3 linked regions of the Mytilus edulis genome follow. The protein of the gene in region 3 purifies or fractionates together with the protein of the main gene of each other region. This does not show direct contact. Links are inferred from orthologs where the notes say so. Each region holds a gene or a part of one and is shown on either strand. Other genes may lie near its edges. The genes, in order: succinate--CoA ligase [GDP-forming] subunit beta, mitochondrial-like; succinate dehydrogenase [ubiquinone] iron-sulfur subunit, mitochondrial-like; iron-sulfur cluster co-chaperone protein HscB-like.

Evidence for each region.
Region 1: the proteins of iron-sulfur cluster co-chaperone protein HscB-like (region 3) and succinate--CoA ligase [GDP-forming] subunit beta, mitochondrial-like purify together in Homo sapiens (affinity purification with mass spectrometry; 3 studies listed by BioGRID and IntAct, with this or other methods). This does not show direct contact. The link is inferred for Mytilus edulis from reciprocal best matches to the Homo sapiens genes HSCB and SUCLG2.
Region 2: the proteins of iron-sulfur cluster co-chaperone protein HscB-like (region 3) and succinate dehydrogenase [ubiquinone] iron-sulfur subunit, mitochondrial-like purify together in Homo sapiens (co-immunoprecipitation; 3 studies listed by BioGRID and IntAct, with this or other methods). This does not show direct contact. The link is inferred for Mytilus edulis from reciprocal best matches to the Homo sapiens genes HSCB and SDHB.

Annotation. Positions count from the first base shown.
Region 1 is NC_092344.1:74,496,302-74,507,464, forward strand, and holds the start of succinate--CoA ligase [GDP-forming] subunit beta, mitochondrial-like, read left to right. Parts: upstream 1-5,981; 5' UTR 5,982-6,029; coding exon 6,030-6,098; intron 6,099-11,148; coding exon 11,149-11,163. Other genes in the region: cyclin-D-binding Myb-like transcription factor 1, read right to left, coding at 1,293-1,369, 1,754-1,901, 2,428-2,480, 2,973-3,086, 3,496-3,838. UniProt on the Homo sapiens protein: GTP-specific succinyl-CoA synthetase functions in the citric acid cycle (TCA), coupling the hydrolysis of succinyl-CoA to the synthesis of GTP and thus represents the only step of substrate-level phosphorylation in the TCA.
Region 2 is NC_092356.1:48,309,079-48,320,310, forward strand, and holds the start of succinate dehydrogenase [ubiquinone] iron-sulfur subunit, mitochondrial-like, read left to right. Parts: upstream 1-6,012; 5' UTR 6,013-6,128; coding exon 6,129-6,191; intron 6,192-10,087; coding exon 10,088-10,159; intron 10,160-11,232. Other genes in the region: uncharacterized protein DDB_G0284459-like, read right to left, coding at 1-578. UniProt on the Homo sapiens protein: Iron-sulfur protein (IP) subunit of the succinate dehydrogenase complex (mitochondrial respiratory chain complex II), responsible for transferring electrons from succinate to ubiquinone (coenzyme Q).
Region 3 is NC_092347.1:98,516,693-98,528,209, forward strand, and holds iron-sulfur cluster co-chaperone protein HscB-like, read left to right. Parts: upstream 1-6,760; 5' UTR 6,761-6,783; coding exon 6,784-7,218; intron 7,219-8,438; coding exon 8,439-8,813; 3' UTR 8,814-9,764; downstream 9,765-11,517. Other genes in the region: U6 snRNA-associated Sm-like protein LSm6, read right to left, coding at 3,448-3,482, 3,929-4,042, 5,429-5,519.

The sequences.
Region 1 (11,163 bases), on a different chromosome or scaffold from region 3:
AACAAATTAGATTTTCGAAAACAATTTTCACGGAACACTTATTTATGATTTCAACTTTGACTTTTCACCTAATTCCAATATCAACAGTTTAAAAACAACAGACCATGGTAATTTAAAAAAAGTAAGAATATTTTCCGTATCAAGTTAGTTAGTCGTATTAAACAACCGTACGATTGACAAGATATCGACACGCAATTACGACTACATCGGTTACTGTAGTTTTGTTTCTTTGTGGTTTATAGACATATCGTTTTTATTCATCGGGAAAGAAGACAAGATGGCGGATCTCGGAGAATTGATACTCTAAATTTAAAATCGATGGTGATCGCTTATCTAGCGGAATAAAACTTTAATATCTATGAATTTGAACATTTTTATACAGAATGAACATAATATCAATTTTTGATTTTTTTGCGAAGTTTCCCTTTAAGAACAGGTAGACAAGTATTTATGACATCATATGAAAGTTACAATTTTAAAAGTGTTATTGTGAAAATTCATAGAATTTGGTTGATTAATTTTTGGTTTTCGGACAGAGCTCAACAAAGAAATACAGTGTTACATACATTTTAGAAAGCCTTGCAGTGAGTTACAACATTTGAAATAAAATGTGTGTCAGTAAAACAAATGTTGTCTAATATATCAAGAAAATAATCCAGAACTTCAAACTTTGAAATCCAGCTATTATCTATTCTAATGCAATTATTTTGTATCAATGGTTCTGATTGGATGACAGTTAGCGTAAAATTCTCTATCTCCTTGTCTGTAACTAAGGTAGCCGACATTTTGAATTGCTGAATGTATTGACATGTAATTTCTACAATAAAAAGCCAAAAAACTAACATGTCGCACCTACAAATCTTCTTTTTATAAAATTTCATTACATTCTGAAGCGGCAAAGAAGCCAGAAACTCCTGGTGTTTATGTTTGACGCTGGAAGCATACCTATGACGTCACCTAATGTAGGGACCAAAGAAGATAACATCTTTTCGTGGAATTTTCTTTAATGAAGATTTTACACTGAAATAATTATTGGAATTTAATTATGAACTTGTTTTGCATTAGAATAGAGATAACTGTATTGTATTTGAAGCTTTTCGGACGTCCATCGGTAGTTTTACTGTGGCAAATACCTGTTTACCTGTCTCTACTACGTGTTGCCATGTAAACTAAATTTGCGACAGTAAAACTACCGATGGACGTCCTTAAAGCTTCAAATACAATACAGTTATCTCTAAATTCATCCCCAATAAAGGTCAAAGTTTAACTACATAGTATTTATAAATATTTACTGCACAATAACTGTTAATATTCTGCTGTAATACAGCAACTTCTTCCTTTGTCCACTGTCCTTGTTTCCATGTTGCACCTTTAAAGACATATTAAAAAAAATCAATAAAATCAAAGTGCACCTTATTCAGTAAAACTATGATTTTTGCTTTTAAAAGTGTGTTTTGATAAGAGTTTCAATCTGTTATATATTGCATTTCCAATAGTCAGAAATACTCAAGATCATCTCAAAGGGAAGCTGTTTCAAGATCACCTCAAACTTAAATTTAGACTATTTTTCAAATAACATCTTTTTTGTCCCAAATTGTTAAAAGATAATATAATTATTGATACTTCATAAACCATTTAGACTGTATCCTTATGTCAAATATCTTTTTTTGTGTTTTATCATTATTGAATTGTTATTTCAATGAAGTTCTCCCTCAAATCTTATTTTATTCATATGCTTCATTAATGTGTATACCCTTGCTATGAAGAGCATCCTTTTCATCTCTAGTTGTGAACCAAGCCTGAGAAATATCTGAGCTTTCTAAAGCTTTTCTGTTCCCAGAACCTGACTGTTTAGGGCCTCCAGCATCTCCTGCACTCAATAAGACTGATCCATTGGTTGCCTTAAACATAAAAGAGTATCTATTGAAATAAATAAAAAAAAATTTTTTAGTAGAAAACACATGGTTCTGCATACATGTACATGGAGTAAATGGATTCCGGAAAATAAAACAAACTTATTTTTAAAAAATTATATTGAAATACTGTGAATCAGATACACGATAAAATTATGATACTTATCTTATGATTAATTTAACTTATCTAATTCAATCATTTACAGACAAAAAGGTTATTTCAAATCTCAAATTATTGCAAGTTCATTTATTATAGTTTAGTGAACTGTTCCTTGCATAATAAAACAAAAATGGTTCACAGGACATTTTCACTATGAACAACCCTCTTTACTCTTTCTGAAGTTTGTTAAAAAGTCAAAGAAAAGTTGAGAACTTGAAAATTTGGTATTTTTTTTTTTTTTTTTAACTTGCATCGAAATCTGGGGGAAAAGAAAGACTGTTCTCCTTCTCTCCCATGTTAAATTTGTATGCCTATCAAATTATTTTTTTCCACCTTATACATCATTAAATTTACCTGAACTGTTTCCACTTTTTCTACAATGGTTTCATCAGTTGTCAAAGTATCCTCTGTAACAGAAATGAAATGTCTTAAATGCTATATATATATGGTACTTCTTTTAAATGTCTGTTTTTGGTTATTTTGCGTTGTTTTGATGCTGTCTTATAGAATTCGAAGGTACATATGTTGTAAAACACAAATGTAAGAAAGATAGTAGAAAAAATGTATGACTGTCTGTATAAAATCTGCACTTGTATAGTTATTTGTTATGATTTTAACATAACACTGAGAAAAGTTGACTCAGATTTATAAAAAAAACAAACTATATCTATATTTAGCTATTTTTAATGTTTTGTAAATATTTTAAACATTCTAATATTTACATACTAAATTATTTATTACGTGTGTTAAAATAACATTGTTAATGATTGTTCGGCACTCTATAATTTTATTTTTGTAATTGAATTAGTCTCTGTACTGATTAATCCACACTCTCATAGTGTTGTATGTCATGTGTTGCTATTTTTAGGCACTTTTTGGCTATTCATATATACATCTACCTGGAGCCACAGATAGCACATAAGACTGGCCATCACCACCTTCAATACGAAATCTTTTGGCTGCAGGTTCATCTCCATTTTGAGTATTTTCAATAGAATCCATTCCAAGGGATGCTAAAATTATATAAGAACCATATAATGTTTTAAACAAAACTTAAGCAATGATATTATAGGGGGACTCCTCTAATCTGACTGTATACTAAGATGTGTGGGTGGAACAGATTATTTTTTTTATTAAATGTAAAACAAAACAATGAATTGCAATTTTGTGTGCCTGACTCCATGCTTTATTGACTAGGATTGTCAGTTTTCCTACCAAAGATCAGTATTTTTTCACCAGGTATTTACAAATTAAGAATCTGAGACATCTTAGTTTTAAATCTCAGATTCTCAAGATTTTAATGCAATGTACATATTTATGATTTTTTTATTTTAAAATACCAGTCTCACATCTGTCTGTACCCAAAATCATATTTTGAGACCGTGCCTACCACCCTGACCCCTCAGTGTAATTTTCACTTACCAGCAGCTTCTTTTGACAGAATAAGGAACCCAGCTGTTGAAGATGGATCCATGTCAACAATGTTCTCTATGTCCTTCCATTCCTCAACAGCTACATCTGTTTGTTCTAAATCTGCTTCCCCATCTGGTACCTCTATCTTCAAAAGATGAGTCTTGTGAATTGTCTCCCCTTCATCACCATTGTCAATGGCCTCTCCTTGTAAATTTGCATTGATTGTAACATCTTCTATAGACGTTGTAGACTGTGTTAGGTCATGTTGTTCATTATATTGTATTTCTGATGTTCCGTTTGTACATATTTCTTGTACAACTGGTTCTGAAGTTTCCTGATTTGCTGTCTCCATAAAAAACACCTGCAATATAAAGATTCATTAATTATCTATAATGCCATATCTTAAATATATTTTTTATCTTGGATTTTCAAATTCAGTGTATATATATATAGAAATCAATTATGAAAATCAATGGAAATTTGAATTTGGTAAAGATTTGTGTTTTCATTCATTTTTTAAGATAATGAAATTAATACATTTATAATCTCCTGCTTCTCCATAATACATTGTACATCTATTTTGGTTAGAATTCAAAAAGATCCTTACATGGTGTCTTTCCGTAACTGAGAGTATATGTGACAGTAAACAGTGTCACTTATTAACAAATAGCTGGTGCTTTCCACAGGTTAAAATATCCTAGTGTAAATCATCCTCCCGAATTTTACCCTTATTGATTTACTAGCAATTCTAGAAAGACAAATACAAAATGTATAATAGAGCATGTTGAAGGTAATCTATAAAAATGGAGGACATGCATTTTTCATTTGGAGAAAATTACATGTATTAATAATTATACTAGTCTAGTGTTTTCCACTCAAGTTTAAAAATAACTCTACTATTTTTACTATCATGGATAAAATGCACTAGCATTTTTTTTTAGTTAACATGGTTAAGGAATAAGGATACAATACAGTAGTATTTTTAGGTATGATATAATATGTTAGATTTCTTTTAAAATAAAGTATTTTGTACCATAAGAATATAAAACCAAAGTTGTTAAGGTTGTTACAATTTTCAAGCCAAAAAACCCATCTACATTTGTACATATAGGAGTAAAATGTCAATAGGACATTTCCTCCTCCTCTATCATGTCTATGTTGCTTTAAATTGTGGAATGTATGAAAAATATATGATAAATATAATCAAATTAATTATTATTCAAATATATCAATTTCATAAAGATTGTTGCAATTATCTGCCATAGTAGGTTTTCTTTTTCATTTGTTTAATATGTTGTCATAAAATTGAGAAAGGAAATGGTGAATATGTCAAAGCGACAACCACCCGACCATAGAGCAAACAACAGCCAAAGGCAACCAATGGGTCTTCAATGTAGCGAGAATCATGTCTGGATCTATTTTAATATGTTCTACACAGTACAAATTTGGCTTTGTTGACGGCAGGTTTGGTTGTTTACAAAACTTAAGGACAAAAGGGATGATTTCAGCTTCCCAATTGTGAACTTTCAATTTCTATGTACATGTAGCAACATTCCAGCAGTGCCTGCATACGAAATATATACAGACAGATGTGTGGATCTGCTAATTACCCATCCAGAGCACATGAGATCAACTCCAGTTTTTTGTGACGATCATGTTGTTCAGTCTTTAGTACTATGTTGTGTTCTGTGAACTAATTGTTTGTCAGTCTTTTTTTTCTTTTTTAGCCATGCGTTGACAATACACCCTATATCGCTATTCCCAGCTGCTTGAACTTCTGACCTCATACAACAATCACTTGTCCATTGTGGTGTCAGACATTTTGTTTTATGACTTCAAAATTTTACGGGGACCTGTTTGATATCCGTTAATGGGGGACAAAAAGCGATATTAAGGTGTATTTATTTTTTGTGACTTACAAAATGACTTATGAGTTTAAATGGCGCTTCGGTATCTTTCGCCTCTCTCTTTTATTACAATGGCGCTTTTAAATATTACAGATAATTATTATTTATACATGTTAACAAATGTTCCAATTAATAATTTAAACAATGCAGTTGAGTTTATAAAAATTTATGATTGAAAGTGATTTTATGCACTCATAAACAGATTTGTTTTGATTTTATAATTTTGTCAACATATTGATATTGATTTATTTAGATTTTGTAAGCCACGGAATCATTTCATTTATCAGAACTTGAAAATGTAAAAGCACACAATATTACAGCTGATAAACACGTGGTTTTGACATTTTACAATGTTTTCGTACGGGTGATCAAAGAAGAGCCAGGATGAAAATCTTGTAAGTCCCAGGATGAACAGAAGAAAGTATTGCGGATGAATTTAGACTTATTGTTAAGCGATAATAAATAAGATATAGTATCATCAATTCAAAAACTTACTAATTTTAATGAGCAGAATTTGTATGTTTTTTCATTTTTTTGACGGCAATAACAATCGTGTTGCTGATAATCATAGGACTATTTTGTTTGTACAAAAGAAGTTCGAAGTATCGCGAGAGTTTGAGTTTCTTTTCGAGAAAAATGGCTGCGCCCATGAAAATGATAAGAACGTCAGTTAGACACGGTTTATTGCAAAGACTGTGGAATAAAGTAAATGTCAATGAGATCTGATTTATTTTCCAACACAATATATATATATTTGATTATATCAGGTGCCTGATTGCTTATGTTCTTCAACAAAATTACACTTTATAGCATCTATCAACATTACCAAGTTTTGACTTTCAAGCCGATAAGGTGACCAGTCACTATAATAATGTAAACATACACATGGAAAAGGTTTAAACTAGAACATTCTGGTCAGCATTGTTTTCTGAATTAATCTCGCAATGTCCTTGATATATACCTCCCCTAATTCGTGTAATTGGCTACAAGCCGATAAGGTGACCAGTCACTATAAAAATGTGAATCCGGGTCCGTCCGCCCTGATTCTGGTTCGCCCTAGTTTCTGTTCGCCCTAATACCTGTTTGCCCCGAGTCCATTCGCCCTGATTTTATTTTTTAGTATAGTGTTGCGTTGTGTGTATATAATTGAATGTGTTGAAGTCAGTCTACAATTTCGCCGAATATTTACGATGTATCATATTAACTTGTCTAAAGCTAGCTGCTATACTAAGTTATAAGTTTCAGTACATTTCAGGACTACAAGATATTGTGACTTCAAGGTATTGAGGACTAAGTTTGTATCTGTATGTAATTACGTTACTAGGAAATATAAGTTTCTGTGAATTTCAGCACTACATTGTATTTTTAAATGTAAAACAACTGAAGACAAAGTTGTTGTCTTGCTGCTACGAGGATAAGTTTCTGTGAATTCAAAGACTACAAAGTATTTGACATAAAACACTAAAGACTAACATGACTAAGTTATTCATATATTTAACTTTCTTGATACATTTTAACAATTTAAAAATATTCAGTAACAGTTATAACAAGATCAATTCCGAACTGTACTTCACACACATTTATTTCCTAAACGAATATTTAAAAGCACTAAATAGAATTACTATTAGTGAAACAAATACCAAAAACGCAGTCACACTGCTGTACATGATCACTTGTCATCAGTGTTTTTACCCATCCTTTTTTTTAATTTTTTTATAGACAATTCATATAACAATCAGTGATATCAAAGGTATCAAATGACACCTAATCAGCAATCAAAATTCAATCAACAGTAATTAAAAGTAATTATAAAATAAAGTGTAACAATGCAGCCAAGAATGTTATTTAATTAATATAAATTTGGCAAATATTCTGTATTTAACTTTTAATAGATATACATAAATTTTAATATATATATATATTGTTCATTGATGTAACATATATAGATATTTATATCATAATATAGGGCAAACGAACCCAGGGCGAACAGACTATCAGGGCAAACAAACTCAGTTCGAACAAACCTAGGGCGAACATGTAATCAGGGCGAACGATCCCGATACCTAAAAATGTAAACATACACAGTGTTCTAGGATTTTTTTGGCACCTTGACTTACCACGGGTAAGATCAATAAAAAAATTACTTACCCACATCTAAAAGTTTAATCCGCCAACCAATGCGGACGGCGCAAAGCTCGCCGCCCTTATGGCCGGGGGTCTGGGGGCCGCTCAAAAAACTTTTATGACATGCTTTAAATTATATGTTGTGAAGTTTGTCTGAACAAAGCTGGATTCGGATACGATTGAATTTTGTACAAAATTTAAAAAAAAACGATTTCTTACTAAATTTGACAAATATGTTATAGTTATTACTATGTCATTTATTAAGAGTTATAATAAATGCAACTGTAAGTTTATTTTCCTCCGATGACAAGAAAAAAAATCGTTTATGTCCCGATTTTAGCACCAGTTATCAATCCGGATTTTCCGATTTTACCGACACCGTGACCGACTTTTAGAATGATAGGTGAAGAATGTGGTCTCTTTTGCGCTTGATTACACCTAGTAAACGAGTGCTTGAATAAAAGCGCCGATAGACATCGACAAAATCTTCGATCTTTTATCAAAGTTTTTTCTCGTGATTTAATAAAAATAAAAAGCAGATATGGGAAAATTGAAGAGGACCGGGAAATTTCAAGAGTTTTTCGGCTTCCCCGAACTTGAAAATTGACTTACCACCGGGTGACAAAGGCTAAAAAATGACTTACCCGTTGTCCTAATCCACTTACCCCGGGTAACGGGTAATGGGAATCCTAGAACACTGATACACAGTGCTCTAGCTAGAAATCAAAAGGGGCAGGGTGCCAGTGGAGGGCAGGGCACTTTTTATGATAAGAAAAGGCACTGCTCATTTTTTTGTCTAAGTTTCTGTGTGTATCACGAGTTAACGAATCTCTTTGTTTTTTTTATTGTATATGTTGTTTTTTTTAAATAAAGATGCTTTTCAACTATAGTCTTTATTTCATTGTTTGTGTAGTTATGATTGATATGGTACATCTTCATCAACATATTATGTTTTTACAGTTCAACTTCACTCTACCAATTATCAAAGAATATGTGTTTTTTTTTGTTTTTTTGTTGTTTTTTTTTATCTATATAGGAATTATAGCTTTGAAAACATCATATGAACTGAAACAGAGAGCATTACTAATTTAACAATGTTTAGAACATGGATTGCTAAAAGTATAATTATCAAGTAGAAATTGCAATATATATTTTTTAATATGTTCAAAGACAGTTAATATCTTTAAGATAACATGATTATGCTATTATAAATTATTATTCAATTGGTAATTTATTCCCTTTTTTGGTACTAGATAATATTTTTAGAGCACAAATTTGTAATAAGCTAAAACAGGGGAAGTAACTCCGAAATCAATTTCCACCACGTTTGGGTTAATTAAAAACTGTGCTTGTCGCTAACAAGTTAAGATGGAAGGCATTTCTGTAAAGGCATAGTTTTATTTTGATGACTTAAATTCAATTCTAAAGTCATGAAAGTCTTCATTTATATACACTCTTCCATTGTGACTTGGAGATCGAAAATGCCGACCCAAGCTAAACACACTCGCTGACACATTCATCAAAAGTATGACAAAAAGATACATTGTCCTAATTAAATTACCTAGTTATTAACACCTTTGAAGTCTTTATCATTGTAATTGATTGTAATAAAATGATTAACCTGGGGGCAATCACACAGGTGTCATATATGTAATTAACTTGGAGATCAGAAATCGATGAAACAAAATTTTACCAAAACGGCACAAGATAATTTTGGAAAAAGACGTCAGGGCAGAAGGGCGCGGATGAAGGCACCCAGGGTGCAGCTGAGGGCACCCAGGGCGCGGCGCCCTTCTATTTTGGGCTAGCGAGACCACTGATACACATGGAAAAGGTTTAAACTAGAACATTCTGGTCAGCATTGTTTCCTGAATTAACCGTTATCTTGCACTGTCCTTGATATATACCTCCCCTAATTCGTTTAATTGGCTAATATTTTTGCTATCCCTTGGCTTAGATATGTACATCAGGGCTAGTAAAATACTGAGCTGCTTATAAGTCCTGGGCTAGTAAGCCATGCATTAGCTGTAACAAAAAATTTTAACCCTGGAAATTTACTTTCGTTTTAATTCATTGCTAAGTGGTTTGTTAAATCCTGAGAAGTACGAAAATAATTATGACGATATGGCTAACGCTAATTTGATAAAGACAGAAAATATTGAAATGTTTTCATCACCACATGTACCTTAAGCAACGGAAACTTTCAATCAAGAGGGACCCTTTCAGTACCCTATTTTTAGAACAAAACAACATTTCTGATTTTCAATTTAACAAAAATAGATTGTTGCGACAACTATGTAATAGATGCGCAGATAAGGGTAAATAACGCTACACAACACATTCATTGCTATGGACATTGTATATATATATATATAGACAATCAGCTGCAGTGATTCAATATTAAAGTGTAAACAGGAGTTATTCAAGAGGCAGTTGCACTATCAAAATTCTATTAGCTCAGTCTAGAAGTGATAATATTATTACACTAATGATTAAATTAATCATTTTAAATCTAATTACACTAATGATAAACTTAATTGTTTTAAATTGAATTTTTGATGTATCATATCTCCTCTACTGATCAGCTGAAAGTTTTTTTTGTCTTTTAGCTCATAGACTATTTTGTCATGTGACTGTGAAATCATCAATGTTTTTTCATGATTTACTCCTAAAGTATAGAATTTTATAGAAATAAATTATAAGGAATGACTGTAATATATTTTTGTCTAAATGAAATAACCTAAAAATGTGTTAACACTTTTTAAGTTACATTCCTATAATAACTAAGGCAGCCTTGTTTTCACAGCTAAGTTTATCCCTTAATAGCCTTGTCTCATTGATTTACCATGGTTAATCAAAAATGTATTAATTGAATTAAAAAATTAGTTATCAAGGCTATGCATTTAGTTTCTGTTCAAAGTCTCAAGAGTTCCCTAGAGCCCACTATAAATGAAATAATTTTACAAATAACAAACATATATATGTTATTACAGATTTAGAAAATTTAAGGAATAAAAAGTAGACAACTCATGAAAGTATCTGCAATAACACACACAAGTTATATTCTGTAATAACCCTATAGAGTTATATCTCTGACTGTACACAGGTTATTCAGCGACTGTTTACGAGAGCAATAGCACATTTTTGTTCTTGAGATATCAACTATTTTTTCATTGTTTGTGGCAAAACATCAAGTTTTGTAATGCATGTAATTATTAAATACCAATCTACAAATGAAGACACTTCATTTATTTTTGTAGGTAACAATTTTTGTGGATTGAAAAATACTTTCAAGAGATATTTGAATTTTATGGTTTTTCAAAAGTCTGCATATATTCTTAGAGCAAATATGGCAAATTTGTAATTCGGTGAATACTTCAATTTATATCCGTGTAACTACAAAATCAATGAAAATTGATATCCAACAAATAAAAAAAAATCCACAGTATGTTCATGGTATAAACATCCATTTCTTGTCCTGCTTATGACTTGTGCATGCTATTGAAGTTTACAGTGAAATTTGGTACTGAACATAACAATATATTTATACCTAACATCCTGTTACCATGGTTACATAACATTACAATATATATCTTATATAGTAGTAACATTCTGATTTTCTTCTTTTCAGGCTAGCGTTTTAGGG
Region 2 (11,232 bases), on a different chromosome or scaffold from region 3:
GCTGGTTTGTATGGCTTTCCTGGTCGACATCTTGAAAACAGAAACGAAGACTCCTCATCCCCACCCTCACTTGATCCTCTAGAGTCATCCAATTCAAATCTTACCCTGTGTTGACCCTTGAACTTTCCATCTTCACAAACCCCATTTCTTAAATTACTTTTATGTTCTTTATCATTGGGTTCTAAGGCTTTTTCTGGGGTCAAGGTTAAGTCCAAATCAGGGTCAATTAAAGTGTTCCTGTTTATTTTGGTTGGCACAGGGGCATTAAACTGTCTTCCTTGTAGATTGTTAAATTTCCCTGCTGATGATTTTTCAGGAGTTATACAAAGATCTGGATCTGGTCCAACCAAATTGGCAGCTGTTTTCCATGATGGGGCAGGAACTCTGTATAGGGGTAAGGAATCTTCTGAGCTCTCCGATGTATCCCATCCCGGTGGAGGGAAACGACAGTGTGCCTTGTCACTAAGATTTAATAGCTCATACTGTGAAACAGCCCCATGACCTTTCTCAGAGGCCCTTGTTGTAGGAAATCTGTGTGGGAGAGGTTCTGTTGCTTGACAGATGAAATGTGTTGCCATTTTACAACAAAATCTTCATTTTATCCTGTAAAAAAATAAAAGAGAAAAATTACACATCTTTCTTTTTCTTTACAAAAAATAAAAAGAGTATAGAAAAAGGAAGTATCATTAAATATTTCATTCCAGTCTTATCTATACTAAATCAGTGCTAAAAAGTTATTAATGGAGTACTAGTGTGTCCCTTGGACACAAATAATGTCCATGATTAAAATGTGTACATATAAAGGAACATAAACTAATATCAGATAATGTAAACTAATTTTGAGACGTATGGACGATTAGATATGGTAGATCATCATGATCATAGTATAATGTAAGAGTAAAATTTCACTTTTGGAGAGTGTAAAATAAAATTTAGCACCGAACTCATGTTAAATATCAGTTTGGTATGGTCAAGATGTATGGTTAAGTTAGCATACTTTTAAGAGAGTTACTCTCCGTAGCTAGTTATTATGTTATCATATGTATGTGCAAATTGCAGTCTGTATTTAAATTGTTTATTAGTTTGATTTGTTCTCTTGATTTATTGTGACCATAGATGTACATGTGTTTGGAAAATAAAACATTAATTTGAAAAGTAGTTTTACTATTTATGCCAGAGTAAAGCATAAAACTGGGTAAAATTTGACAGACCTGAAATTTCAATATGTTAACAAGCTTTCAGAGTATGAATGGTGATTAAAGTGTAAACAGCACAGGTTAAAAGTCAGGTACATGTATGAACAAAAGTTTTCCTGGATAGACTTAATATGTAAGTGATAAGGCAATTTGAGGTGGTCAAATCAGAAAATCGCTGGGGGCGTCTTTTTACCACAGAATACCACAGTATACTCAGAATATACCACAGAACTACACAAATTACAATAAAACTACTGAAATATACCACAGAAGTTACAGGACATCAAAATTACTTTATGAAATGCATATCTGATAATACCGAATCATAATTTCTTTAACTCAGGTTACACTAATCACATGACCAGCCTGCGCCAAAAAAAAATTTCATCTACTAGTCCAGACACAAAATTTCCAAATTTGTCCCAATATGACCATACAAATTTTGAAAATATTCACTAGTCTGAATCAATTTTTACTAGTCTTGGGCATCGGACTAGTGACTAACGGTGCAGACTGTATGACGATTGGCAGGATAAGATAAACATTATCATAACATTTTTGTTATTTGGCATATTTTTTTACATTTGAAATCTAAAATAAACATTTAAAAAAAATGTTTTTCAATAGCAAAAAAAATTATTGCACGGTTTATTGAATATATTTAACTGATCAATTAAAAGTGTTATTATCTATTTTGTTTTACAATATATTTTAGTGATATTAAGAAATCTGCGAGATTATTAAATATGATGTTTTAATCTTGGATCTTATTTATTATAAAAATTGTATTTTTAGAATTATTCATGTTATTTGACAATACTTATGATAATCATGATAATTAGAACAGGAAGACTGCTATCATCATTCTATTTTTTAATTGCCACCTGATTGAATAAGATAATTCAAATAAATGTATTTGGTGTCTCAGGTGTGAAAATATAAATGACATGTTTATTGGCTTGATTGGTGATTACAGAGAGTGTCAAAATTGGTTAATCTAATTAAATTATGGTACTTTAATTGTGCAGGTGAACTTGCTAAGGTCAACATTAATTTTGGACTAAAAAATATAGAAACTACAGAATAGAATAGAATAGAATATTTTTATTTCCCAAATTACAGGGCCCATAAAGGGCATAAAATCAGATACAATTGATTACCACATGTATATATATGTAAATGTCACATGTATGTATACCAGTTTTTTTTCACTATAAAGTTCCAGTTCAACATTTCTAAATGCATACAAAATTTGGTAAAAATCCGAAATATTGTCAAATAATTGAAGAAGATACACATATATACAACCTAATGTTCAGTGATCATGTGATAAGACACTTGAAACAGTCATCAAACTTGAACTTTTTGACAATTAAAATACACACTTATTATATGTTATTAGTGAACTCAAATATTTAATACTGTCCGTTAACAACTTCAGAATTTTTTTTGAAAGTATTTGAATATTAATTTTACTTATCTTAACATAAAATTAATAAAAAAGGGGCAAAAAAACCTGACAAACTAAATAAATTATGGTCCCAATTACAAATATAGATTAGCCATTCAGTAGGGGGCTTTGTGATATAGTGAGTTTTGTTTCTAAAAAATATAATTTATTTGAATAATATATGTCAAATTACAAAAAGAATAGTCAATACATTAACTGGATAATAATGCCTGAAGTATTAAAATTTTGAAGTTCTGTGGTACATTTTGAGTGTTCTGTGGTAAAATGACGCGCTCGAAAATCGCTCCATACTCAGAATCAAGAAAGGGTTTTATAATTAGTAAACAAAAAGTTATCTTATTAATCAATGAAAGCATTATTCAAACAAATGAATGATAGTTTTGGGATATAACATCACTTGAATCAGTGAATCAAATTTTGTAACCGCCCATCCCTAGATTTTCCATCATCTATCATGGAAAACTGCATGGAATTCCATGGAATATTTTTCCATGGAATTCCATGGAGTATTGGAACCTGTTTTCCATGGAAATCCATGGAAAATAAAAAGAGAAAAAAGGAATTAATAATATTTCCATCTGAAACATTTTCCATGGAATTCCATGGAAAATATTTTCCATGAAGTTTTTCCATGGAATTCCATGGAAATATATTACATAGAATTTCTTTTTCCATGGAATTCCATGGAAATATTTCCATCATTTCCTTTTGAAATGAATTGCTCAAATTAACCTTTTGACAATATACCCTGTTTAACAATATCTGTAATAATGAAGATAAAAAAAACTAGGTGCCATGCTTTTTTCGGTTTGGTAAGGTCTTTTGAGTCTTACAATGGTCAGTAATAAGCAATAGACTCAAACATCATTTTAACCTTTAATTCAAACTTATTTAATGTATTATAATAAATACAACAAACAAGAAAAACTTTCAATACTGGTATATGTTTGCACTGCCTTTATATCAAGAAATTAAGGTTATAAATGTCACTTATGTCAGCACCAGGCTTCAGTAGATCCATCTTGTAGAACAGCATTAACCATTTTATTGGAGTTTCATTTCTTCCTCATGATACCTAAAAATAATTTTACTGTTATAAATAAAGAGATATTCTTTAAATAATGGCATTATTAATAATGGTTAACAACTTTAGTCTTTGTCCTAAATATTTTTTTCCATAATTATTGTATATAAATGTCTTCATTGGTATTTTCCATCTATTTAGAACTTAGTGTTGATCTGCAGTTTGCTGTAAAGATACACTTTTTTTTACTTTTATGGATCTATTTCTCATTGGCAACCAATTTCAACGGATCTTAAATTTTATAACCAAATTACTTCATTAGTGGATTATTAGTTATTATAATACACCATATACAGTTTGTCTTGTCTTAATACCCAATCATTATAATTATAAGTGAAAAATCTACTATAGGTGTTTTCATGATGTTTTTATGTTGAACTAAAGGAGCTTGCACACACTTAAAATGGTAGAATCTAATTCAGTGTACTTACCAAAAAATATGCTCTAAATCCAACAGTCAATGCAAGTCATCAGAGAATAAATCTGCACTATTCGATGTCAAGAACTATTTGGAACTATTTAATCTAAGTCCAATATAATTTAAATTTTGCATTTTGTTCAGGAGAGAAGACATCTTTATTTGTTGCCTGCATATCCATTGCAAGTTCAAATTTTCAATGTGTTGGGGGGTGTATGAGGAGTTATCTGATTTCTTTTAAAAGAGTCACAATTGAATACTGTTATTTACCAAAATCTTGGATATTTTATATATATTTTAATAAAAGATTGTCCATTTATTGTTTATTTACCATTTTTATGTTTTAAGTAATAATAATTGCACAAAAATGTATAAATCCATGTTCTACCCTACATTTGGCCTCACACTGTATGGTCATAACATTTCCTGTCTTCTACACAAAGACCAATGAAAACCAGATGGCACTTTACATTTCTTTCACTGTCTAATTGATGATAAAGAATTAATGTATGTAATTTGTGTACATTTTTTCCATGACTTTCCATCTCAAAAATATTCTAAGTTAAGATTTTATAATGTTTCCATGTTAAAAATATTCTAAGTCAAGATTCCATCCTCTTTTCCATCTCAAAAATATTCGAAGTCCACTTTCCATCTTCTTTTCCATCTACAAATTTTTATTAGTCTACTTTCCATCCCATTTTCCATCCAAAAAGTATTTTTTCCATGGAATTCCATGGAAAGTTTTCCATCTTATCATGGAAAATGATGGAATAAGTAACACATATAAGTTTTCCATCTGACATGAATTATTTTTCCATGAAATTCCATGGAAACTCATGGAAAAAAACAAAATTTCCATCATTTTCCATCATTTTATCATGGAAAAAGTTGAACTGCATGGAAAATCTAGGGATGGGCAGTTTCCAGGGGGTCTCATTGGGGGATTCCGATCCCGGATCCCGCTTACTGTTTTGTCAGATTCCTGTATCCCGCTTACACTATGTACGTAAGCAATTCTCATTTTTTTGTCATTTCCCAGGTCCGCTAGACCTCATTTCCCGTTTTCCCAACACAATAATTTGACTTTCAAGTGTCACGCTTACAAAAAATCAGCAATCCCGCGTCACGCTTAGACCCCAATGAGACCCACTTTCCATTTTTTTTAAGTTATAAATCAGTGTACTACTATAGCTACATGTATGCAATATATAAAGTAGTTGACCTTGTGTTCAAATCAATTTTTCTTAATCTGTTTAAAATATTTTATATAATAATGACATTTAGAATTAAAAATTATATAAACAATACATTTATACAAGTGCAGTAAGTATACAACGTCAACTGTACAACAAGTCTGTGCCTGCAACAGAGTCAGAGATCCACAGCAAAATTCGCCTACGTCAAAAATACCTAGTCGACTTAAGAACGCTTTAAACTAATATCAAACTTGGTCCCCTTTTTTTATAACACTACAGTCGATTCTTACATTCAACATATTAAACAGGAAAGATATTTGAATTTTGTTAACCGATGAGCAACAGTCGCCATCTGTAAACAAAGCAAGGTAATAATCTCTTAAAGGATTGTAAATTCTCAGATACAAATTTAGATAATGCAAAATACCAAATAAATATATATATATGATAAGAACGCTATGAACTTTAAAACTGAATTTGCTTTCTGGTCTGTAATTTCCCCAAAAATAATCATGCTTTCGAATCTTGTATTGATACTTATGCTATTTAATTAAAAACATTAACACTGTCTTACCTTATAAAAAACTTTTATTTGGTACGTTGTTGTCTTTATAATGTTTTGTGGTATTTTGTTGTATTTTTTATGATTTTCAGGAGAATTGTCTCAGTGATAACTTTCACCAAAAGTTCAAGGTTACAGGAAACGACAAGTGCGCTTGAACGGAATTACATAAACTACATGTAGATCTGCAAAACAGAAATGGCTAGTTCGACAGTGGTCAAGATAGCTCCAGTAAAAAGAGCCTTATTGCAATTAATTCAGGTATTATTCATGACTTTTGATATTGACTCGTTCATTTGGACTAACAGAAATAGCTCACAAAAGGAGAGGACAGGCAGAAAAAAAGTAGAAAACTGTTCATTGACATTGACATAATTTGTAGGTTTCATAACATTAATTTACTATTAATGTCAAATCGAAGAATATACAAATTATGTATTTGTAATATGTCATCATATATAATTTTTTATTAAGGTTCAACCTGAAGAGCTAATCATGAACTGTTTTAAAATATAAATTCTTGTTTATGTAATTTTGGCATTTTCATGATATCACTGTTTATGTAATGCAAACAAGTTTAATGATTCTTAATTTAGTCTTTAGTTTAATTTAGTTTTCATTGTGTTATTATTGGTTACCCAGAGTACCTGAAAGAAAGAGATAACATTAACCTTGCGATCACAAATTATACTTGTATCACAGACACAGTTATATTGTTACCATTACTGATCAGTATATAATTTATTGGTATCAGAGTTTTATTTTGTCTTCCAGTTATCAGCAAGTCCAGTATAATTTTGTCTTCCAGTTATCAGCAGTACATACATTTACATGCATGTTATATTCATTTGTAATTTTTTATCGTATAATCATATGATATTGTGTTAAGAATATTACAGATGTAAGATGATATGACTTATTGACACATGTTGGAAATAGATGTACAGTTTTTTCTTGTGAGAAACTTGCATAAGGTCATGTTTTTCTCTGACTTTTAATGACATCTTTACACTAAATCCATTACATGGAGATCTTGTACTGATTGATAATTTAGTCACAGATGCCCAGAGATGCAAACAGTTTTTTTTTCCTGTCAGACAATGGGGCCTACAGGGTACCAAGTTTTGCCAGACCCATCAAATTTCTGCCAGACCCATATTTTCACTCAAAAATCAAATGAAATTATGCTATTGAACAAACGTTAATTTTGATTTTGTTGATATTATTTTATCGGCCATGACATATTTCCTGAACTTATCAACTATGCTTAATAGACCTCCTTCCTAGAGAGCGAATTTCTAAAACAAAAAACATGACGGAAATACGGAGAATTGTTCGGGGCGAGATGGACAAGGTACGAAAGACTATTACTGGGCGGAAATACTGGTTCCCGGAGTTAGAAAATGCGGGGGAACAGGACATTTACTTTTATTAAAGATGATCGCAATTTTATAAACAAAATACTCTGCCGGGGCCGACGGGGATTTCAGTTTTGGCGGACTTAAATATTGCCGGCCATCAGGTCCTGCACAGCTACGAGTTTTGCCGTACCTGCATAAATTCTGCCCCTTAGGTCCGACGGGTCCGACGATCAGTTGCATCTCTGGATGCCTGTTTTATTTATTAGTTGTTATTGTCTATGAACAAGCTGTCTGAAATTTGGAGTATTCTCAGATCTGTACTTATTGTTATTTTGTTGTTGGGATGTACAAGTACATGAACATGTACCCCCCCAAGAGAAAATAAATCTGGAATTCCACTGGAATCCCGGCTGGAATTTTGATGGGATTCCAAGTGGGATCCCACCTTATTCCACCGGGATAAAATTTCGGGAATCCCGCCAAAAGTCCGGTAATTCCGATGTAAATCCCGGTTGAAATATACTGGGATCCCACTGGGATATTGTGGGAATTCAATTGGGATCCCACTGGGATAAAATTTCGGGATTCCCACTAAATAAGCGGGATCCCGATGTAAATGTACTGGGATAAAATTTCAGGATTCCTGTAAAAGAAGCGGGATCCCGATGTAAATCCCAGTGGAAATATACTGGGATTCCCGGAAAAAAAAGCGGGATCCCAAAAATAAATACCAGCAGGATATACATGCACCAATTCAAATTGCACTGCCACTGGGATTTCTGGGTTATTTATGCAAAAGGATACATGTCATGTTTCTTTCTGTTAATTAAATTGCTGTCTCTGTACTTCCAACTAGAATTGCTGAGTAAATTATGGTAACTGGAATATCTGCATGCAATCTGTTTCGTTGGCAGCTCCATTTAAAAAGATCAGTATATCCCCTAAAAGTATAAAAAAAATCCACAAAGAATCATTTGTTCAATACGTTTTGAAGCAACAAATTCAATAGAAATATTATTGCATGTTAATGTTTATAGAATACAGTAGATTGGAAGCAAGTCCAAATAATTATGAAGTCTTTGAAGGTTATTTTAATTTTTTTGCAAATTAATTACCTTCCCCCTTTTTTATCCCCTGACGATAAATAACTAGCGACTTATTATTTTCACCAAATAAACATACACACAACTGAATTAAATTTTGACATACCTACTTTTTATGCCTGTTATGTGACAAGTTAACAAGTTTATTCATTGTATATGTTAAAAATAAATATATTTTCAGTTTATGCTTTCAGACTTTCTGATGTTGATTTGCTCAGATAAAAACCATACAAATCATAGTTCCTCAATAAATTATTTTCATAATCATTATATGCACATATACACATGTTAAATTAAATTATTAATGCACTTATCTGAAAACATCATCTTCGTCCTGTCCATAATTCAGCGTAAACAAATTTTGATGACGTTTTTACCAGTACACAAACGTCGACGTGACAATCTCGCCCCAAATTATATCGGCCAAGTTGATCTGTCTCCGTAACGGTATTATAAATAAATTAAGGGTATCGCATAAAAGAATTAATTACTGGCCAGTTTTGACTAAATATAAGAAAAGAATACTTTAGTAATCGGCACCTGGTGCATGCGGATAAGATAGTGGCCGCATTATTTAGGACAGTATTTTCTTGGGTCGAACTGGTACAATTGAAAACAAAGCACGTGGTCATCATTTTTTTTTTAACATTTTACATAAGTTGAGAAACCAACGTTTTACGACGTCAGTCATTATCTTATCATTGATGCCGGACGACAACTAATAGAAATGCACTTATGAGAACTTGAGGAACATTAGAAATGCCCAAGCTCGTCTGGCAAAACACCCGTTGACATTTCCTCGGACGCCCTCCAGTATCATTTTTATCGCGAAAATCTCGGCATTTTTCTGACTTATAAATATCTGTCAAACTGAATATTAAGTGACACTTAAATGTGATTGGCTTCACCTGACAGCTTTGGTGTCATACACATTGTTAATTAACACCAATAACCTATACTTGATGTTATTAGAGACATATGTATACACAAACAAAACACTTGCATATTTTCAACAGCATAAATTAATTATGGTTCAGACAATTTCCCGTTTTAACTAGACTGGGATCCCAGCATCAGATAGTTTTCCCGATTGGGATCCCGGCTTTAAACAGTTCCGATTGGGATCCCAGTGTCCGATATTTATCCCGTTTCATCTAGACTGGAATCCCGGCTTCAGACAGTTATCCCGAATGGGATCCCAGTTTCAGATATTTATCCCGAATGGGATCCCGCCTCCGGATGCTTATCCTGGCTTATCCCGACAATTTCACCGGGATTGCATTGGGATCCCGATCGATCCCGTTTTCGTTTTCTCTTGGGCCTCCCATGTTCTCTCTGTTCCGATTAGGGGATAGATGTTTAGGGGCCTGCTAACATGTTAAACCTGAAAATTATGTATGTGTCTGTCCCAAGTCAGGAGCCTATCATTCAGTGGTTGTCATTTGTTGCTGTGTTGCATATTTGTTTTTTGTTCATTATTTTGTACTTAAATTGGGCAATACATTTTTTTGTTTGAATTGTTTTACATTTGTCATTATTCAGCCTTATATAGCTGATTATCAGGGACCGTGCTGGGCTTTGTGTTGCAAATTGTGATTATTTTATTTCATCTGGCAACAAATTAAGGTTGCTGACATACATGACATAGATAAACTATACATTGTATATGATGAATATTTCTTTTGTCTTACAGACAAGATGTGCACAGACAGCAGCAGCCACAGAGGTTGCCCCAAGAATGAAGAAATTCTCAATCTACAGATTTGTAAGTTGGAACAGCCATATGCACAACTATTACTTTAAATATCTCTAAATTACTTATCTACATAACGTAACGGTACCCAAATTGCACCTATTTAGCAAAAATAGCAGCGGAAATCTTACAAGATCTCCTAGAGACTAAACAATTTGTGTTTTTATGATTTGATACTGTGCATGTCTTTCAAAATATGTAAAAATATTTAGATATACACAAAAAAATTCACAGTATTTATCAACAGATGAAGTGTTTACTGAAAAAGCAAAATGTACCGAAACGTCGCCATGATGTCATCAAAACGTCATCTTTTTAAGATTAGCAAATACAATATGTTACAAGTATCCATTTCTTAAAAAAAAGAAGAGTAAGCAACGACAAATATCCAATTGTTCAAAATATTTGAAAAAAATAAACAAAAGCTTTGTTATTCGTCTTTTGACAATGCGAATTTAAGCATGGATGCAATTTGGGTACTCCTCATTGCAGAATCATTGATGGTTTAGAGGTTAGTTCAGACCAATTTTTCTATGATTCCATATGAATGGTGTACCTATATAATAAAGAAGGATACGGCTACAAAATAAACACAAAATGGAAATTTTTGTCGATCATAAAAAAACGTAGTTGAAAAAACTGTCAAAATAGGTGCAATTTGGGTACCGTCACGTTATACACTGTATATACCTGAAGAACAGAAGAGTCAGATTTAATTTTTCATGAAAGTGTGAAATTGGAAAATGATGTGTGCTGCACTATAAGAATAAGCAATTTTAATACATGTATATATATATGTAAAGATTCTTTAGAGTATGGAAGGCATGTTTAAATATTATGTGTATTGCAACATATTCATGATCATCCTAATTTATTCCAATAAATTTTTGAACGTCATCTCTTAAGAAGTTTGGTCTCTTTGTTAAAATTATAATGATACTAATTTTTATCAATTATTATATTTATTTCATGATATATTTGGAATGAAAAGGCTAAGGTTAAAGATAAGAAAAAATTTAGCCAATGTGCATGATGTGAAATGCCTCAAAATAAATTATAATGTTGCTGTTGCATAAAAAATATCC
Region 3 (11,517 bases):
TGGTCAACATACATGACATACATATGTGTATAACAATAATGTTTAATTTGGTTTTAATTTACTGATAGCAAAATCAATATTTATATTTATAAAATACTTTGTTGTTATATCAAAACGAGACAAATATAAAAAAGTAGATGTGGTATTATTGCCAATGAGACAACTCTCCACAAGAGACCAAAATGAGACAGAAAAGCATGTTAAAAAGTCACTGAGGATATGTCATTATTTTTAAAACTAACAACTTACAGTATATGGGAATAAATCAAATTAAGTTTTTAAATGTATGAATGTAATTTTTTTTTTCAGATGAAGACAACTTCAAGAAGAGTGACATTTAGAAGATAGAACATTCTATTGATATTGTTATTATGTCAACAACAAAAAAAACATAAAAAGTTGTGTAACGTTTTGAGATTGCTGTATAAAATAAAAGTAGAGTGAAATCAAATTTTTGGAAGTTTTTTGAAAAATTTATATTCTGCAACAACTAGACAACAGAGAAAAAAATTATGAATGAAATTCTTTAAAGTGGATTTATTGAATTTTTCATTTAACATATGTTTAAAAAAATAATACAATCTCAGATTTCTCAAGACATTGGTTATTATCAAACTGACAAGGGACACAACTTCAAAATTGTATTTAAATTGATGCTAGAGGAAACATCTTATACACTTTTGGGGTTTTCCTTTTCATATTACATGCATAAGTCAACAAATGTGTTTGTCAAAGTTTAACCATAAGTAACATTTTAACAAAAATTGTCAAATACATGTACAACATTCCACAAAATCCATTTAAGACAATTTTGACCTCTTTTTAAAAGAGTTGTGGTATTACTGCCAATGAAACTACAGAGACAAAAGATTGTCGGTTTATATTCCATGAAATATTTCATATCATGGTCTTTTCAATCATCTTAGTGTCAAATGTACCTGATCAAGGATTTAGAAACATGAAAATCATGTTACAGATATTTCTTTTGTTTATTGGTGTATTTAAACAGGAAAATTTTAAAGACTGATGAAAAGTGAAGTCTGATCTGCAATATATGATTCTGATGTTGCTTGTCAAACATGTCAAAAGGAGATTTGTGGTCAAAATAACATGAAGAGATGTTGTATGATTGCCAATTGGACAACTATCCAACAGAGTCCAAATTAAACCGATTAAAGCAATTATATGTCCAGGGAACAGCCTTCAAAAGTAAACATAAGTCGTCTTGGTTGTGTGGAACATATGGAATGTGAACTAGTAAACTTGACAAAGGTTTTATGGATGATTTGGAATAATATCTTATAATTTGTTTGAAATATGCATAATACGCATGTTTGTTACACACATGCTATACGCATCATTTAAAACGCATATTATACACATGTTTCTTACAACACATGTTTAACGCATGATTTTGAAACATGCGTTTTACATCACATATATTTTTCATGTGTAAAACGCACGAATAAGGCATGTTTTAAACATGCGTTTTACATAACATGTATTTTTCATGCGTAAAACGCATGAATAATGCACGTTTAAAACATGCGTTTTACATAACATGTATTTTTCATGCGTAAAACGCATGAATAACGCATGTTTAAAACATGCGTTTTACATGCGTGGTAGGAAAAAGACGTTTCCCATGCGTTACCAAACATATGTTTTACATATGTAAAACATGTGTAAAACATGCGTGGCACTTTTCCCTGTGTATAACAGAAACTGAGAAATGGACCAACAACAAAAAATCCATTGAAACTTGAAAATGAGGTCAAGGTCAGACGAAATGGCCGTTGCACATGTACTACTGGTATTACAATTATTATGCCAAATAAAGTTGACCTACTGCTTACAGTATCTAAGATAAGTACTTGACCATGAAAACAGATCACATATTCATGAAATGAGGTCAAGGTCAAGTTAACCCCGTCTGAAAAACATGCAGACCTTGCAAGGTACACATGATATAATATAGTTACCCTATTAACAAGTGACACCTTATGTTGCTCAGTCACAGGTAACACAACACATATAACAAATCAGGCACAAACGCATATAACAAATCAGGCACAAACGCATATAACAAATCATTTCTTAATACAGAGGCCGAGTAATATGTGAGGAAAAACTATTGCCCAATCATAGGTATAATGAAGATTGAAAGTATCATCCATTGGGAAGCAACTACCAGGTAAATCTGTCAATCACTTATATGGTACAGCTTAACATTATAAAGTTTTATCACTTAAATGGTACAGTTTAACATTATAAAGTTTGGATATAGTACAGTAGATAAATACTGTCATATTATGTAAAATTCTATGCTCAGTGAAGGTGGCTCTAGCACTCACAAACATCTTTAATCATGCTACCTTCTTTATGTACCGGTCCTAAATCTGTATATCATATTTTTCTTCAATTGAATTGCTATAAATTGGGTTGTTAGAACGTTTTCTTGTTTGAATAGTATATCCTATTTTATGTTGGGACAATTTACACCTAATTACCCCTGTATACAGTATGAGTTTTTTCACATTGTTAAAGGCTATATAGTAACCTATAATTCTTTCATCTTCATCATTAGGAAAATCTACCAGGCATAATTGAAAATCATTGAAATATAAATGGAGGTGTACCTGCTTGCATAATACTGTTATAAAGGGACATAACTCAAGAACAGTAAAAGTAGAAGCAAACTAAAGTTAGAGAACTGAAATCAATTTTGTAACAGCCTTCAACAGACAGATATACAGACTGACACCGGTAAAACTTAATCCTATCTCTGCCACGGCGGAAGCAGCATTTAAACAAACAGAAGATACCAAGAGAAAACTCACAATGCAGTGGCGGATCCAGAACTTTTCCTAAGGGGGGGCCCGCTCCAGTCATGCTTCAATGATTCCCTACATAATCAACCAAATTTTTCCCACGAAAAGGGGGGGGGGGGGGGGGTGGGCCCCTCAGGGCCCCCCTGGATCCGCCTATGCAATGTCATGCCAACTTCCAAACCACCACAATAAGATGTATAAAAACATAACTATTCTTTATATAGAATTGACTAAACATCAGATCTTCCATTATACAGAAGCTGTGTACCTGCTGAATGTTATTGATTGACAAGTTGAATGCAGTATACCATCAACACTAAGAAACATGACAAACAAGAATATACTTCATGTTCATATTTTATTGTGTTCTTTTTATGTTTTATAAGAAGATATTGACACATACTTTATGCATGAAGCTCAGATCCTTCTAATGAAATTTGTTAAATGAAATGAATATAATAAATATGCTTATAGATTTACAGATCATGATGAAAGAATCATAAATGATGATTTAAAAACGATGATGTACTACTGACAAACAAACTTAGGTATGTCATAACAATGTTATTATATACAAATAATGGGCCAATTTACACCAAAACCATTCACAGGGTGGTCATATCCTTCTCTTCTGTGTACTGATGTATAATACTGAAAAAAGAAAGAACTGAATAAATGACATGTAATAAGATGGTCTTAGATCCTTATATCTATGGTAGTTGGTCTCTGGTGGATAGTTTTCTCATTAGCAATAATATCTCATTTATGTTTTAAAGTACTAAATGTGTTGCCCTTTTCTATGAAGCTACGTATTTTGTTGGTCGCATCAACAAATTGTTTCACCTATGAAACAATGAAATGCAATAATAACTGTAGGTAGATATTTCATATTAATATAAGTTTATACAGGTTTAATGTGTGACAATGTTCTGACAACTACTGATCTGAAGATCAAACTTTTAAATTTTTTTTTTTTTTTTGTGGTTCCCCATAAACTGACATAATTTCAAACTAACACATAGTTTACATTCCTACCACCAGAAACAGCATAACTGCCTCTTGCTTTTTGACTCAGTTAAGGCAAGACAAAAACCTACCATTATTTCCCCTAATGAAGGCATCTCCATATTTGTTTTTCAGCTGTCCATTCACATATTCTTCTGTTTGTTCCAAAGCAATGTTCATATATCCATCCAAGCAAGCTAAGACACCTAGTAATTTAAAAAAAATCAGAATTATACCTTTACAAATAGTGAACTTCTATTAATTTCTAGCTTTCAAAATTATCTTATAGTATTAAATTCACTGTATATATGTTGTATAGCACAAATTCAATTTAATTAATTAATTATTTTTGTCTAAATAAATTTTAAATGCGCAAAATAATCAACTTATTGATGGTGGCCGCGTATTGGTAGAAGTAGAAGTATTCAGAATAAAAAGTTCATAAAAATATTCAATAAATTCAGGGTTACTGAAAACAAGAATTTTTGTTCATAGCTACTAATATTTACAAATTAAAAAGATTGGGATGTGGATTCCTCTATAAGATTGTTGTGTCAATAGTTTGCTCAGTGTCTCATTCATACATTGGAGTGTACTCTCATTTCCTTAAATTCATATACTGTACTTAAAAGGGTTCTTAAAAATAAACATCAATATACATATACATACTAACTAGATATCATTGAGATGGGAGCCATCTCTGTGGGCCCCGCTGTGAATAATATGCATTAAAAAATTGTATATTTACCATAGGACATGGGTTTGTCAACTGAAATCAAAGTTTTTGACCTTGACCTTTGACCTAGGAAGTTGTAAATAAATTATGACACACCCTTTGGTGTTGGTTTATAAACATGTCAAGTATAAACTTTGAAATGATAACGGTTCTCAAGATATAGAGCGGACAGGATCTTTACCATAGGACATGGGTTTGTCAACTGAAATCAAAGTTTTTGACCTTGACCTTTGACCTAGGAAGTTGTAAATAAATTATGACACACCCTTTGGTGTTGGTTTATAAACATGTCAAGTAAAAACTTTGAAATGATAATGGTTCTCAAGATATAGAGCGGACAGGATCTTTACCATAGGACATGGGGTTGTCAACTGAAACCAAAGTTTTTGACCTTGAACTTTGCCCTAGGCAGTCGTTCATAAATTATGACACACCCTCTGGTGTTGGTTCATATACATGTCAAGTATAAACTTTGAAATCATAACGGTTCTCAAGATACAGAGCGGACACGATCTTCACCACAGGACACAGGGTTGTCAATTGAAACCATTTTTTTTTTACCTTGACCTTTGACCTAGGAAGTTGTACATACATCATGACACGCCCTCTGGTGGTGGTTAATAAACATGTAAAGTATTAAGTATGAAATCATAACGGTTCTCTAGATATGGAGCCGACACAAAGTGTTATGGACGGACGGACAGACTGATCACTATAGGGTGACCCGCCTTTGGCTGGGCCCTAATAAATAAAACATTCAGTTTAGTATCAGTATTGTCTACAATAGGTGACTCAAAAACTATGAAAATAAAAAGCGGAAAATAATGAAGTCCTATTTGTCTTTAAATTGTCATACCTCTGTAATCCACACCTGAATTCAGCTTAACTACAACAGGTCTGCCTATGATTTGTTTCAAAAACTCACTGGGAGTCTGTTTTCTACTCATACCTAAAAATAGACAACTTAATTTTAATTCAAACTATAAATAGAATATTGCTACACATGTTTGTATACATATATTAATTGTGCCATGGGGTATTCAAGATCTATAAATTTATCACAATTGTAGTTTTAAAACATTTAGCATACATTTATTAAATTAAAAATATTATTAGATTTTAATTCCCAAAACATTTTGTGCAGTATAGAATAAAACTTTTCACCTGTTCATGCAACATGTGTTTGAGGCTACAATGATAGATTCAACTAACTACCTTATCTCCGAACTGGCATATTGTTGAGAAAATACCAAAGAAGAGAAATATTAACCGACAAGACCTAAGGTTAATGAGTTCAAGTACAAACTTATCGCCTGTTAATATAAGACATATAATGCATATTAAAACAAGAATATGTCCCATCCGCACTATCATTTTCTATGTTCAGTGGACCTTGAAAATGGGAAAAATCTCTAATTTGGCATTAAAATTAGAAAGATCATATCATGGGGAACATGTTTATTAAGTTTCAGTTTGATTGGACTTCAACTTCATAAAAAAACTACCTCGACCAAAAACTTTAACCTGATCCGGGACAATCGGACTAATGGATTAAAGGACAAATGGACAGACGAGCGGACGCACAGACCAGAAAACACATATAATGCCCATAAATGGGCCAAAAAGTCAGATAATTTAGATTGAATTTGAAACTTCGGCCCAAACAACTGTCGCTGAAATTGGAAATGTAGCCGAAACGACCTCAATTGAGAATAAAGGTGTGTACACGGGAACCTGTGTGATTTTAGTAATTGGCAGTCAAATTTGCATACAAGTGTAAATACGTCTATATGAATATTCAAACAAAGCCAAAGGGATTGGACTTCGAAACAACCTGTACCGAAATTGTAATATGGCCGAACTATTCTGTGGACGAAATGGTAGTGGCCGAAACGACCTGTGGTTGTTGACGAAATGGGACGAAAATTGGTAGTGACCGAAACGACCTGTGGTTGTGGACGAAATGGTAGTGTGGCCGAAACATCTCTAGAAATATTCTTTTCATACAGTTTTCAAACATATTTGTGAGTTGAAGGTAAAACAGGTGTTAAGCCAAAGCTGAACTTTAGATATCATATCGATACCATTACATACTTATAAACTATAGACTGCAAACACTTGTCTTGCCGCTTGAAGAAATGAAAACATATTCTCACGATATCTGCTCTATCAAATGCATTAAGACACGTGATATTTCTCGCGTTAATCAAGATGTCTGCGCCCATGAAGTTATTAAAATCCTTTCAAAATTTGATATCTACCAATATAAGACAAATTAATACATTTTCAAGTAAAGAAATATGTTACATTCATTTTATAGCAAATCAAAGAACTAGACAATACCACAGTTTTTATTGTCATACGCCAAGTTTACACCAGGGTACCTTTTATGTCAAAACCTCCTTACGAAATCGAAGGAATTATAGTCTACAACATAGAGAATGTTGGCGTTGTGGAAAACCAACAAATACCAAGGAAGACATATTTTTCTGCAAGTGTGGGGTTGTTCAATCAGTCAACTCATTGTCTTATTTCGAAATAATGAGCTTAGGTGATAGTTTTGATGTTGACACAGCAGTCTTGTCACAAAAGTACAAAGAATTACAAAAGTTGCTGCATCCAGACAAGCACACATTAAAATCAGAGGTAAATAGTTCATGTTTGGCTGTTTGACACCTGACGGTAAAGGGCATTTCTTTCCTCATATATGTCAATCTATTTTTTTTTAAATAAGTTCCCGCATTTATATGGCCGTTTACATGGTTAAGGGCAGGTATTATGGTATACTGTTATCCGTCCATCCTTCCTCAACATTTTGGTCATTAATTGAAAAATGCTTGTACCAATTTGCATAATACTTTGGTGAATTGTTCACTGGCGGATCCAGAAATTTCCGTAAGTGGGGGCCCGCTCCAGTCACGCTTCAGTGATTCCCTAGTATATAAGCTACCAAATTTTTTTCCAAAAAGGGCCCCCCCCAAAAAAATCTGCCTCTGTTGTATATATCTAATAAGTAACTTCCCTTTAGATGTTTAGTTTTTCACAAATTTTTGATATAAGGGTAGTAATGCCCTTTTACGTCAGGAGTCAAACAGCCATTTTCAGCTGTCGTTAGTGTCAAATTGGTTAAAATTTTACCGTGATTTGTCAAAATCAGTCGATGTTTTTATAGTCTAAAAGAAGGTGTACATTTTATCGCCATACACCAAAAATTACTGTTAACACCATTTGGCAAGAACTTTTACCGTTCTTTGTCATGAAGGTACCCCCTATACAACCCTCTGATAAGACATGAAGAATTTATTGAAATTCATTGTTTTAAAATGCAACAGGCGTATCATGCACTCAAGGCTCAGCTGTTTATTTGTTAGTTGTTATATGTTGTCCACTCCTATACACGACACATAAACAGCCAAACAAAAGTTAGGACCAATAGCCTAGCGCCCAGGCCCCATCGAAAATCACAGAAAGGTAACACTGTGCCGCTGAAAACTCTTTTTTTAAGAGGCTAGGTGGTCTAGTCGTCTAACGCATCTGTCTCAGTGCAATGCGATTTGGCGTCATGATATCTCCCGGCAAGGGAAGAACAAAAGCAAATTTACCAATCTAAAATTGTTGGGCTAATGTTTAGACAAATTATTTATACATATATATGGTATTCTATATTTTTTGATTCCTTAAGACAATATTCATTGTTGCTTTTAGTTTTCAATTTTTGTGTTTTAATTTTCTATTGGGTTGTTGTTCCTGGCCTGAAATTGACATTTGCCCCCATATCTTCCTTCAATTATTTGTGTATATTGTTAACGATTTGTATGTGTGTTTCTCAATCTGTTAACAATTTTATTATACTAAATTCATTCCAGGAAGAAAAAATCCTTTTTGAAGAGCAGTCATCCCTAGTAAATAAAGCTTACAGTACTTTGGTTAAACCTTTGAATCGTGCATTATACATGCTTGAACAAACTGGACACCCAATAGAGGAACAGAATAGTAATGTTGATCAAGAATTCTTAATGGAAATCATGGAAATCAATGAAGACATTGCTGATGCTGATTCTCCAGAGTCACTCAAACCTATAGAAATAATAAACAAGAAAAGACTGGATGATAACATAAGTCAAGTATCTAAAGCCTTTCAGGAAGGGGACATAACTGCAGCTAAACAGCTTGTCATAAAACTCAAATATTTCACAAATATTGATGACAAAATCAAAGAAATTTACAGAGGCCAGTTCTGATTTTTTGTGACCTACAAATACCTGTTGCAAAAGCAACTGAATGTTTATAGGATCTGATATTGCCTAGAATTGTAGCTTCTACAATGTTGGTCTACCTGGATGATTGGTGGGAAAAAAATGATATATTCTTGAAAAAGAGGATAATTTTTTATGGCATTTACTTTGCAACACAGATTATCTTTATACCAGAGGCATTTGGGACAGGAACCCACTGTTATTTTAATCAGATTGGAACCCCTGTTTATTTTTATCTGTGATACGTTTATTCTCGATGAAATTAATTATTTAGCTTAGTTTTTTTTTCTATTGTCTACAAAGTTTGTGATTAAGATAATTGGTAAACTAGAATACAGTCCCACCTATTTGAATTTCAACATTACATTTTTCTGTCAAAATAATGCAAGGGCTAGACACAATTATGTCTGTGTCAACATTTAATGAATTCATTTCCGAGTGGTCTTAATCTTATTTTTTAACTATATATAAAGTTTGAAGTTAATTTGTTTCTATGAGTTTTCATTTTATTTCAATGTATATACGTGTATATATCAAACTACCTGAGAAAATAACAGAAATCTATCTTTAACTCATTTTTGTCTGTCTACTTCAAATCTAAAAAAACATTCAAAAATAAATATAGGTTTCATATCAAGTGAGAATTTGATATTTATTACTTGATATTAACGATCATTAACCCCAGTTATTTTTTTATGTAATGAAACTGATACAAAGAAAGGTTGTGATACACTAGTAAAAGTATTACCAAATTAATATGCAGAATTGTTATAGCCAGTGTGAAGTTAAATAATGCTGATTTATTTTGTGTATATGTGTATGAAGTGGAATATAAATATGTGTGCTGGAAGAGAGTGATGTAAATGTGTGAACAGCTGGTTACATGTCTTTATTAGACACCTTATGAGTATTAATAAAAACTATATTTGTAGACTTTGAATTTTTAGAACTGTCAATTTCCATCTGGAGTTATTATGATTAATGAAGTGGGTGTGGTAAGTGTAGTTGAGACATCTCTAAAAGAAACCAAAGGATGTAGAAGTTAATACTGTAAATTCAGAAATTATGGGATGCATTTATTATTGCGATTTTTCACAAATGGACAACGTTGCATGTTTAATTATTGCGATAACAAAAAAATTTGCATGAAGATCTATGTTTCTGTTATCAAAATTCAAGGTCTTATTATTGCAACACTCACCCAGTCGTATTAATCACATTAATAAAAAACCTCACAATATTTTTTTTATTTTTTACAGTAACTGTAGATCTATCATCAATGTAAGGCCTTTAAAAATGAGCAAAACTATATTACATTGTAAGCTATAAAAAGCAACAAAATTACAAATGAAAACCAATTCAATGAGAAAACTAAGGATCTGATTTATGTATATAAACAAATCTTGATATATAGCAACAACTGATTTGGTACAGCACATACAGAATGTGGTGGGGTACATATTGGCTGGTGCCAAACCTTCCCCTAACCTGAGACAGTGATGTATCAGTACAACACAAGAACATTGTCTTAAACCAGGTGCTCCACAGGGCGCAGCTTTATACGACCCCAGTGGTCGAACCCTGAACAGTTGGGGCAAATTTGGTCACAATATTCAAGCTTGATACCGTCTGAATTTTGATTGTGATCAAATTTTTGACATAATATAGGTTTTTGCCACAAAATTAATGTGGTTCAAGATCTAACACATCTATTGCACAATACTGTGCAATTGAATATTTCTTATTGAAACTTTTCAAAATTTGAAATTTATAAAATGTTGAAAAAAAAAAAATCCCTTACAATAAATGGTAAACTGAGATCCCCCCCCAATTTATTGAAACCCCCCTTGGAGCAATAACCCTTAAACTCAATCCCATGCTTTCCTTTGTAATATTGAACCTTGTATTACGATTTCAGAGATCCATACACTTAAACACAAGTTATTGTCATGATTGTTTGGAAACTAGAAACATGCTTCTTTTTGGCCCTTAATTCCTACATATTTTGGGCAATTAACCCAAAACTTAATCCCAGCCTCCCCTTTGTTATATGGTACATTGTGGTACAATTTCAGAGCGATCCATGCAATTACACACAAGGTATTGTCTGGAAACTAGAAAAATGCTTATTTTGGCCCTTAATTCTTAAACTTTGGCCCCATAACCCCTTAAATGAATCCAAACCTTCTACTTGTGATTTTAAACATTGCAGTATACTTTCAGAGCAATTGAAATACTGGTAAACAATGGTAAACAAGTTATTATCCTGAAACTAGAAAAATGCTTGTTTTGGCCCCTTTTGGGCCCCTTATTCCTAAACGGTTTGGACCATCATCCCAAAAATAAATCCCAACCTTCCTTTTGTGGTATTGAACCTTCTGTAAAAATTTCATTAAGATCTAATCACTTAAACTAAAGTTATTATCCGGAAACCAAAGTGTCTTCGGACGACGATGACATCATACCATTATACGAACCCAAAATTGTTTTGGGGTCGTATAAAAATAATGATATAATCATGATGATAGATAGATTAAAGAGATATAAACAGCAAGACTGATCACAAAAAAGGCTCTATAAATGCATACATGACTGAAATCTTAAATTGACTCATTGGAGTTATAGCCCCTAATGTGATGATTAGGACATTTTATTTTGTGTTTTGACTGCCAAAAAAGTGTCAGAATGA